3 linked regions of the Oryctolagus cuniculus genome follow. The protein of the gene in region 1 interacts with the protein of each later gene in a pairwise test. Links are inferred from orthologs where the notes say so. Each region holds a gene or a part of one and is shown on either strand. Other genes may lie near its edges. The genes, in order: CALCOCO1, CWF19L2 and DUSP13B.

Region 1 (3,651 bases):
CAGACAGAAACGCAGGCAGAGGATGAGGAAAAGTAAATACAAACGACCACCGTGAGACCACATCCAACAGGGCTTAGTAGCCGTGGCACTGTGGGATTAGCGCAGAATCGGGGACTTCACAGGGCATCTGGTCCTGCTCCTGCCTGGACAAAGAGGGAGTCCACCGTGTAGCTGGGAGGCAGGGGAGAGAGAAGGTGGCCATGAGAGCTGCACTGAGATCTCGGCTCTGTTGTGCAAAAGCTGGTCGGCCTTAGGCAGTTACTTAGCCTCTCTGTCTGTCATCCTAGAAGGCAAAGAGGCTGGCTGTAGGCAAAGCTGTTAGCACAGCGTCTGGTAGGGAGGCGGAGCTTTGGGAAGCAGAGGAGGGAAAGCGCTAACCAGAGAAGGGAGAGGGCTACCCCAAGGAACAGAACTGCTCCATGGGACGGAGAAACAAAACATGGAGCAGGAAGCCAGGGGCGGTGGGTACTGTGCTACATACACCAAGGGCGGGGGGACGTGCCTGGGATCACACTGGGGGCCCGGGGCCGGCCTTTTCCCCACAGCCAGCTACCTGCCCAAACCGGGAGCCCAGCTCTACCAGTTCCGCTATGTGAACCGCCAGGGCCGGGTGTGCGGGCAGAGCCCCCCTTTCCAGTTCCGAGAGCCGAGGCCCATGGATGAACTGGTGACCCTGGAGGAGGCGGACGGCGGCTCTGACATCCTGCTCGTGGTCCCCAAGGCTACCGTACTGCAGGTGAGAGAAGAGCGACAGAGTTGCCCCTGGAAGAGGGAGCCGGAGGACAGCATGGGGGGTGGGGATTCCTCCACTTCCTGCTTCCTCCACGTGTAGCCTCAACAAAAGACCTCACCGGGAGTTACACCAAGTCCTACCTGCAAGAAAGTCTCCGTGTAATGTAGACGGACTGTAAGCACGCCCCCACGGGCCAGCGTAGCCCAGGGCTTCATAAGAACTGGCCTTTCTTACCACATCCTGCCCCAGGCCCTACAGGCTGATGCAGAGGGTCCAAGGAGGCTATGCCAGGGAACGTTCTGAGAAAGGCAGGATGAGAACTGCCTCCAAGACCAGGGAGGAGGGAGAGCAGATAGGCAGGGCCCCTTCCCGCTCCATCCGATGCCAGAGACCCAGCCACGTGTGATCCTTTGTGCTCCACATGCGACTAGTCCATGCTGAGGGATGCTATATGGAGTTTGAAGACTTAGTACGTGTAAAAAAATAATGTGGAAGATCTCAGTCATTTTTTATTTTTTTAAAGACTTATTTATTTATCTGAGAGGCAGAATTACAGACAGAGAGGGGGAGAGACAGAGAGAGAGGTCTTCTATCTGCTGGTTCACTCCCCAGTGGCCACAACGGCTGGAGCTAGGCCGATTTGAAGCTTGGAGCTTCCTCTGGGTCTCCCACACTGGCGCAGGGGCCCAAGCACTTGGATCATCCTCCACTGCTTTCCCAGGCCATAAGCAGGAAGCTGGATCAGAAATGGAGAAGCTGGGACTCAAACCGGTGCCCATATGGCGTGCCAGCACTGTGGCAGACTTAACGTACTACGCCACAGCACCGGCTCCAGATCTCAGTAACTTTTATATTGCTTACATGTTGAAAGGATGTACCATATTGGATAGAGTAGATTAGATAAAATATTAAAACTAATTCCACACGTTTCTTACCTTTGAAGTGACTACTAGAAAGGGTAAAATTATTTATGTGGCTTGTGGTCTCTTTCTATTGATCATATATAAGAAGAATTAAGGAGTGGAGACAGATATTAGCAAGGCAGACTTCCTAAAGGAAGTTCAAGGCCGGGTGAGGAGGAAGTACACTCCCCAGCCAGGAGGGTAAGCCTGAGGAGGTTTCAGAAGGCGAGAATGAGTAGCTTTTCTGTGATTTAAACAAACTCTGCCCTCTGAAACCCCAAGTCTAAAAAAATAGGTGGAGTCAACACAAGAACAGGAAAATGTTTTTATGTCACATAAATCAGATGTGTGACCTGCTACACTGTATTCTGTTCTCGAATTAGTTTTTCTCACTTAAACCTCATGCCTGGGGCCAGGCATGTTTGCCCAGCGGTGAGACACTGTGTCCCACAGCACAAGACCACACCCAGCTCCAGCTCCAGCTCCAGATTCCGGCTGCCTGCTGATGCAGATGCTGGGAGGCAGTGGCGATGGCGCACATAATTGGGTTTCTGCTGCCCACGTGGAAGACCTGGATTGAGTTCCTGCTCCTGGTTCCAGTCCTGGCCATTATAGGCATTCGGGGAGTGAACCAGCAGGTAGTAGGAGCTCTCTGTCCATCTCTTTCTCTGTCTCTTTGCCTCTCAGATTAATTAGCAAAACAAAACCTACAACCAAGACTAAGGGATCACTTTGCAGATGAGGACACAGATTGAGAGAAATGAAACAACGTGTTCAAAGTCACCTAGCTGGGAAAAAGTGTACTGGGATTTGAGCCCAAGTGTATCTGACTGCAGAAAAAATAGGGTGAAACTTGGGGAATCATCTCTTTTGTCTGCGTCCGCAGAGAAAGACTTCTGCCAGATGAGGGACTCTCGCAGTTGCTGGGTGAGGAAGGGCCCAGCCTGGTGTGGGGAAAGGGCAGGTAACAGTGAACTGTAAGCTGGCGTGAATGGCTGCGTGGTGGCCAGGAGTCGCACCAGGCCTCCCCCTGCTCGCCCTCCTCGCCCATGCTGATGTAACTTCCCAACCCCGACGTGCACCCGCAGAGCAAGAGGGGTGGACCCTCAGAACTGGGTGCACGCTAAGCACACCGCTTCCCACCTGCCCCCCGTAGAACCAGCTGGATGAGAGCCAGCAAGAACGGAATGACCTGATGCAGCGGAAGCTGCACCTGGAGGGCCAGGTGACGGAGCTGAGGAGCCGCGTGCAGGAGCTCGAGACGGCCCTGGCAGCTGGCAGGCAGGAGCACGCCGAGCTCCTGGAGCAGTACAAGGTGGGAGTCGGGCCAGGAGCGGGTGAGGCTGGCCGCGTGCCCAACAGAGAGTGAAGGAGAGATGGCGGTGGGCTTCTCGGGTGCTGCTGGCATCCCAGGAATAGGCTCAGCGGGCAGGGAGTGGGCTGAGACCTGAGATTCCAGGAGATCCGTCCCGATGTGTAAGGAGACAGCGCTCTGAGCGCTGACGCGCTGGGATAAGGTGCAAGGTGGCCGGAGTCACAGGTGAGGGCGTGTGCCCTTACAGTTTCTTTTTCAAGGAGGGAGTCGGGATGGAGGGCAGAAGCGGTGAAAACTTGGGCGTGCTTCTCCAGAGATGAGCGATAACCTCCCTCATCTTCTGGGGGAACCCCTAACTCCAGGGCCTTGCACGGTCCCATGGGGAGGTCACGGAAGAACGAGACGTCCTGAGCCGGCAGCAGGGCGACCACGTGGCACGCATCCTGGAGCTGGAAGACGACATCCAGACCATCAGTGAGAAAGTACTGACGAAGGAGGTGGAGCTGGACAGGTGAGGGGACCCCAGGGCCTCACGCCCTCCGCATTCCTGCCTCCTGGTGCAGGCAGACATGCCTCCCCTTCTCAGCCTCACTCAGGCTATTGCAGGTCCTGGGGATGTCTTTTTCCTGCCTAGCTCTCTTCCATCCCTCCTAAGGCTCTCCTGTATCTCCCACCTTCAGAAATAATCACAGCCACCGCTG
Region 2 (3,651 bases), on another chromosome or scaffold:
AGTATTTTTTTATAAGGTGGCCTAGAAAATGCCTCTGAGATATTTTAGTAAATTATGTATGATGGGAGGGAGCAAGAAATTTGAAGGTATAAATGAATGATGTTTCAGGAGGGGTATCAGTGTGTAAAAACGTATGAAGAAGAAATGATTGGCATTCATGGAGCAGTGAAAGAAAGTAGTGAGAAAGTGATAGTAGAAAAGATTAAATAGTGAATGCCAGTTTCAGGAGCTAATGAATTAGTGAATATATAGTGCATATTTATTATTATTATTTTAAAGATTTATTTATTTGAGAGGCAGAGTTACAGAGAGGCAGAGAGAGAGAGAGAGAGAGAGAGAGAAAGAGAAAGAGAAAGGGTCTTTCATCCCTTCCATCCAGTGGTTCACTCCCCAGATGGCTGCAACGGCCGGAGCTGGGCCGATCTGAAGCCTGGAGCCAGGAGTATCTTCTGGGTTTCCCACATGGGTGTAGGGGCCAAGGACTTGGGCCATCTTCCACTGCTTTCCCAGGCCACAGCAGAGAGCTGGAGTGGAGCAGCCAGGGCTCAAACTGGCGCCCATATGGGATGCTGGCACTGCAGGCGGTGGCATTTTTTGCTAAGCCACAGTGCCGGCCCTGTACATATTTTTATTTTTGTTGTTTATGTACATTTGCATTCATACATTATATGTAATCTTACTATCTTTAGATCATTAAAGCAGTCAGTTTATCAATTTGATTTCTTTTGCTTCATTTTTTACCCTTGTTTTTTTCAATTTTCTTTCACTCCATAAGTTATCTCAAAGGTAAATGTAAAAACTTCACTAAATATGTAACCAATTTTTAAAAAGGAAAAACCCATCTTAGCCAATTGCCTATATTAATTTTTTAAAGTTCTTTTTTTTTTTTGAATCTAATAAACCATTCTGTATTTTTCCTGTGTTCTAAAGGATGCTGCTTCAATAAACTTAGTAGTTTTAGAGAGATCATAACAATGTTTGCCCATATATAATATCCATATTCATAATTAATTTGATGATGATGTGTTGGTTTCATCCAAATGAACCTTGAAAATGTCAGTGAATTTTGGCTAAGATACCCAAGATGCATAGCATAGATTGTTGATTCAGAAAGTAAAACATACCTGAACTTACTGACTCATTGACATATTGTACCTTTTTTTTTTTTTAACTTTTATTTAATGAATATAAATTTCCAAAGTACGATTTATGGATTACAATGGCTTCCCCCACATACCGTCCCTCCCACCTACTACCCTCCCCTTTCCCACTCCCTCTCCCCTTCCATTCACATCAAGATTCATTTTCAATTATCTTAATATACAGAAGATCAGCTTAGTATACATTAAGTAAGGATTTCAACAGTTTGCTCCCACACAGAAACATAAAGTGAAAAATAATAGATGATTTTTTTTAAATGATGATGAAATCAGATCAGACCTATTGTCATGTTTAATCCCAGTGAGAGTCAAGTTGGGAGTTGATAATTTCTTTTTTCTTTTTTTTTTTTTTTTAACAGAGGATCAGTTTAGTATACATTAAGTAAAGATTTCAACAGTTTGCACCCCCATAGAAACACAAAGTGAAATATATTGTTTGAGTACTCGTTATAGCATTAAATCTCAATGCACAGCACATTAAGGACAGAGATCCTACATGAGGATTAAGTGCACAGTGACTCCTGTTGTTGACTTTACCAATTGACACTCCTGTCTATGGCATCAGTAGTCTCCCTATGCTCCAGTCATGAGTTTCCAAGGCTATGGAAGCCCTCTGAGTTCTCCGATTCTTATCTTGTTTAGACAAGGTCATAGTCAAAGTGGAGGTTCTCTCCTCCCTTCAGAGAAAGGTACCTCCTTCTTTGAAGACCTGTTCTTTCCCCTGGGATCTCACTCACAGAGATCTTTTGCCAGAGTGTCTTGGCTTTCCATGCCTGAAATACTCTCATGGGCTTTTCAGCCAGATCCGATTGCCTTTAGGGCTGATTCTAAGGCCAGAGTGCTATTTAGGACATCTGCCATTCTATGAGTCTGCTGAGTATCTCACTTCCCATGTTGGATCACTCTCCCCTTTATTTATTCCATCAGTTAGTGTTAGCAGGTACTAGACTTGTTTATCTGCTCCCTTTGACTCTTAGTCCTTTCATTATGATCAATTGTGAACTGAAATTGATCACTTGGAATAGTGAGATGGCATTGGTACATGCCACCTTGATGGGATTGAATTGGAATCCCCTGGTATGTTTTTAACTCTACCATTTGGGGCAAGTCAGCTTGAGCATGTCCCAAATTATACATCTCTTTTCAAGACTTTCATAATTTCCATATATATCACATATGTATTACTACCATATAGATCTCTCACATTTATATATATATTTTATATTTCTTTATTCTGTTCCATATAAGAATAAATTAAACCTCTAATAACACTTAAATTTTTCCTGTTGTGCACTGGGAAATGTTTGAGACTGTAGTCCAGTGGTGTTTCCCTGGGAACCAGCTTCCATATGGGATGCTGGCGTTACACGCTGGAGCTTTAAGTCCTGCGCCACAGTTCTGGTCCCTCCAGTATAAATTTAAGTAGCCACTCTTTCTTTGTTCACAGCAGAGTTTTAAAACTGCCCACTATTTTATAAAATAATTATCTGCCATATAAAATATTTCCAACTACAATTTAACAAAAATAATAGAAAAAACATCCTTTTGCAGGAAGTTATTTATGCTCCTTAGGAGATCTTTTGTCCATTCTCCTTTTTTAAAAGACAGTTTGTATTTAGTGGGAAAAGTAGCACCAGTTTTAAGTAATACATGTATGGAAATAAAAAGAGCTTAACTCGAGCAGTGAAGTCACCGTGAGATCATTTCCTCTCTCTTGGCTAGGTTTTCTTTTCTCAGCTTGTGAGAGGTAAAAGGTCTGATTAATAGTCCATCGATTAGAGCACTCTGCCATTACCAGGCCATGCCATGTATCTTTGTAGTCTTGTGAAACTGTGTTAAGGGCTTTCAAAGTATATACTTTCTTTAGATCAAGGATGTAGTATCATTTATTTTTCCTTCCTTGGATAATCTTTATATGTAGCAGTGAAAATTGCACTTATATTCTGAATTTCCAGTTTATTAAAAACCATTTTTATGGCTTTTAAAATAGTTATAAAAATTAAATCTTTTTTTAAAATAGTTATGATAAACGTTTTCTTCTAAGCAAGTGTACTGTGTTAATTATTAGCTACAAGTGTGAGTAAATTACAGTAGCATTTCAACTTTAAAATTTTTTCCCGATAGGTTTATTTGTGTTTACCCAACTTCCAGTCTCTTACTGAGGGGCACTGCCTGATAGTCCCTTTGCAGCACCATAGAGCAGCCACATTACTAGATGAGGACATCTGGGAGGAAATTCAGGTAAGCATGAAAATGTCATTGTCATTTTAAAGCCCATGAGCAGTTTTTATAAACTAGTGTGGTAGAGTCCAGCAGGGTCTGTATTTTCATTCAATAATTTTACCTTCTGATTTAAACATTTTTGTAGTTGTCTGTATCTGCAGATCATGTTTCCAGCGTTCACTATCTCTTAGTTTTATTTCCCATAAGTACTCTGCATTTTGAAAACTTTTGTTTCTAAACTGGAACACAATATGAATTATTTTTACAT
Region 3 (3,651 bases), on another chromosome or scaffold:
CACGCATCTATAAACAATGTCCTGGAGTTAGTTTCACCTGTCCTTTACAAGCATGTGAATGGAATGAGAGAGAGAGAGAGAATTGTGCTTGGGTTTATTTCCTTGGAATTGTGAGGGGCATCCACATTGTTATGTATAGCTGCAGTTCATTCAATTTTCTCTGCTGTGTAATATTCCATGGCATGATTACAGCACAGTTTAATCCATTCTGCTGTATATGGGCATATGAATTGTTTCTAGTTTTGGGGTACTATGAACAGTGGTTCCAGGAATATTTTAGTGCACGTATCCTGGGAAAACATAAATATACAGAAGTTTCTCTAAGGTGTGTGTATGTGTGCGTGTGTGTGTGTGCGTGTATAGAACTGTTGTTTTTTCCTAAGAGTATCTTTTACGTTTTAGAAAAATGAGGGGCTGGCGCCGTGGCTCACTTGGTTAATCCTCCACCTGCGGTGCCGGCATCCCATATGGGCACCCGTTCTAGTCCCGGCTGCTCCTCTTCCAGTCCAGCTCTCTGCTGTGGCCCAGGAAGGCAGTGGAGGATGGCCCAAGCCCTTGGGCTCTGTACCTGCATGGGAGGCCAGGAGGAAGCACCTGGCTCCTGATCGGCGCAGCGCCGGCTATAGCAGCCATTTTGGGGGTGAACCAACAGGAGGAAGACCTTTCTCTCTGTCTCTCTCACTGTCTATAACTCTACCTGTCAAATAAATAAAAAAAGAAAAAAAGAAAAATGAACCAAAATATATGGATTTTGCAGATAACTAGTAACAAATTTTTGTGGACTTTTAAAAAAATGCACATACATGTTTTTTTTTTTTTTTTCACAAAAATGGTATCATTTGATAATCCCATTTTGTGAGCTGCTTTTATAGAAAGCTTTTTTTAAATGGAGTCATACTCCATATATTAAAACATCTGGTTTGTATTGTATATTCTCCTCAGGTTCTCAGCGTAGCGTGAACAGCTTTCCCCTCTCAGCAGCATGAGGGACATTTCGGTGACTGCACAGTGTTTCCTCACTGAGATACACAGGAAACATATCCAAGACCTCCAGCGGGTGCCAGAAACAACACACAGTACCAAACCCTATGCATATTTTCTCCCGTGCACTTTTCAATGAGCCTTTAATTCATAAGTTAGGCACAGGAAGAGATGAACAACATAAGAGCAGACCAGAACAGCTACGGTGTTAGGCAGACTAAGGGTCACAGGAACACAAGCAGCGTGGTCCCTCTGACAACCTAGAGGGCTCCAAGTGTCCACAGGGCTGCAGTGTACACAGCCTGCGTGGAACAGAGGGGCGACCCGAGGCTGGGCTGGACATGGCAGGATGGCCAAAGATTTCACAACAGCACCCCATTTAAAACACATGAATTGTGTATTTCTGGGATTTTCCATTCAGTATTTTCAGACCGTGGCCAACCACGACACAAAGCAAAACCAGAGATGGGGGAAGACTACTGTGCCACATTTAAGCTCCCATAATAGGATACTTGGGAGGGTTTTCCCTCATTTGTCATTTTATTTATTTGAAAGTCAGAGTTACACAGAGAGAGAAAGAGAGGCAGAGAGAGCGAGAGTTCTTCCATCCGATGGTTCACTCCCCAATTGGCTGCAACAGCCGAAACTGCGCCGATCCGAAGCCAGGAGCTTCTTCCAGGTCTCCCATGCGGGTACAGGGGCTCAAGGGCTTGGGCCATCTTCTACTGCTTTCCCAGGCCATAGCAGAGAGCTGGATGGGAAGTGGAACAGCCGGGACTAGAACTGGTGCCTGTATGGGATGCTGGCGCTTCAGGCCAGGGCGTTAACCCGTTGCGCCACAGTGCTGGCCCCTAACTTGTCATTATTTTTAATATTACTACCCTCAGTTCACATATGTCTGTGGGCACATTTTATTTTTCTCTTTAAGATTTATTGATCTATTTATTTGAATAGCAAATGACAAAGAGAGAAAGGGATCTTCTATTAGCCAGGACTGGGCCAGGCTAAGTCAGGAGCCAGCAATTCCATCCAGGTGTCCCACAGAGTGGACAGTGAGAGAGAGAGAGAGCTGTTTTTGTATTTCTCATAGACACACATTGAAAATAGAGCTATTTACAACATTTATGTTCCTGTTGTATTTTTAGATAATCTATCGATTACGAAGAGAAGTAAGTTTTTTTATTTTTATTTATTTATTTTTTTGACAGGCAGAGTGGACAGTGAGAGAGAGACAGAGAGAAAGGTCTTCCTTTTGCCGTTGGTTCACCCTCCAATGGCTGCCACGGCCGGCGCACCATGCTGATCTGAAGGCAGGAGCCAGGTGCTTATCCTGGTCTCCCATGCAGGTGCAGGGCCCAAATACTTGGGCCATCCTCCACTGCACTCCCGGGCCACAGCAGAGAGCTGGCCTGGAAGAGGGGCAACTGGGACAGAATCCGGCGCCCCAACCGGGACTAGAACCTGGGGTTCCAGCGCCGCAGGCGGAGGATTAGCCTATTGAGCTGCGGCGCCGGCCTTGACTGAGGTTCTGATATGGGATGCTTGCATTTCCAACAGTGGCTTAGCCCACTGTGCCACAGCATCTGCACCTCTGGGCATAGTTCTGATTGATGTTAGGAGACCTGCTAGGGGCAAAGTACACATACATTTTTTTTAAAGATTTTATTTATTTATTTAAGAGGTAGAGTCACAGACAGTGTGAGGGAGAAACAGAGAGAAAGGTCTTCCTCCCATTGGTTCACCCCCAAATGGCCACTACAGTCGGAACTACGCCGATCCGAAGCCAGGAGCCAGGTACTTCTCCTGGTCTCCCATGGGGTGCAGGGCCCAAGCACTTGGGCCATCCTCCACTGCCCTCCCGGGCCACAGCAGAGAGCTGGACTGGAAGAGGAGCAGCCGTGACTAGAACCCGGTACCCATATGGGATGCTGGCGTCTCAGGCAGAGGATTAGCCAAGTGAGCCACAGCGCCGGCCCCAAAGTACACATACATTTTTAAGGCTTCTGATGCATGTGGCCCAACTGCCCTCCAGAAAGCTGGCCTCGATGAAAGTGAGTGTGAAATGCCAACTAGAAGAGCTCCTCCTCGGGTCCCCCCCCCCCCCCATTCACTGGCTCCAGTGGCTCCCCTCCGAGGGGAACAGTGCAGGTTGGGGAAGCGACTTCCAACCCGTCACACAGCACGTGTGACCTGGTGAGATCCACACCCACCTTCCACTGCAGGTACACAGCCCGGGACAAGAGCCAGCTGATGCAGCTGCGCATTACCCATATTGTGAATGCGGCCGCAGGCAAGTTTCAAGTGGACACGGGTGCCAAGTTCTACCGAGGAATGCCCCTGGAGTACTACGGCATCGAGGCCGATGACAACCCCTTCTTCGACCTCAGCGTCTACTTTCTGCCCGTTGCTCAGTACATCCGAGCTGCCCTCAATGCTCCCCAGGGTGAGCTCCCGGGGCGGCTGTGGGGGGTGGGGGATGGGATGTGCGCTGGGGCCATGCATTTTTCAGTAGCACTGAGGGGTGGGGGGGGTCTAGAGCCCCAAATCTCTCCAGCAGCCTTCCCACTCTGTGAAGTAAAGAACTAAAGCCATTTGATGATGTCCCATTCAAGGCCACCTGGAACAGTCAGAGCCATCACTAAGATCCATGGGGCCATCAGTGTAACTGTC

Evidence for each region.
Region 2: the proteins of CALCOCO1 (region 1) and CWF19L2 interact in binary tests that used the Homo sapiens proteins (3 or more experiments, as listed by UniProt). The two-hybrid records come from large-scale screens. The link is inferred for Oryctolagus cuniculus from reciprocal best matches to the Homo sapiens genes CALCOCO1 and CWF19L2.
Region 3: the proteins of CALCOCO1 (region 1) and DUSP13B interact in binary tests that used the Homo sapiens proteins (3 or more experiments, as listed by UniProt). The two-hybrid records come from large-scale screens. The link is inferred for Oryctolagus cuniculus from reciprocal best matches to the Homo sapiens genes CALCOCO1 and DUSP13B.

The regions. Positions count from the first base shown.
Region 1 is NC_091442.1:56,692,977-56,696,627, reverse strand, and holds part of CALCOCO1 (calcium-binding and coiled-coil domain-containing protein 1), read left to right. Parts: intron 1-545; coding exon 546-736; intron 737-2,791; coding exon 2,792-2,950; intron 2,951-3,312; coding exon 3,313-3,461; intron 3,462-3,651. UniProt on the Homo sapiens protein: Functions as a coactivator for aryl hydrocarbon and nuclear receptors (NR). Recruited to promoters through its contact with the N-terminal basic helix-loop-helix-Per-Arnt-Sim (PAS) domain of transcription factors or coactivators, such as NCOA2.
Region 2 is NC_091432.1:99,116,180-99,119,830, reverse strand, and holds part of CWF19L2 (CWF19-like protein 2), read left to right. Parts: intron 1-3,284; coding exon 3,285-3,401; intron 3,402-3,651.
Region 3 is NC_091446.1:66,150,006-66,153,656, reverse strand, and holds part of DUSP13B (dual specificity protein phosphatase 13B), read left to right. Parts: intron 1-3,203; coding exon 3,204-3,424; intron 3,425-3,651. UniProt on the Homo sapiens protein: Dual specificity phosphatase that dephosphorylates MAPK8/JNK and MAPK14/p38, but not MAPK1/ERK2, in vitro. Exhibits intrinsic phosphatase activity towards both phospho-seryl/threonyl and -tyrosyl residues, with similar specific activities in vitro.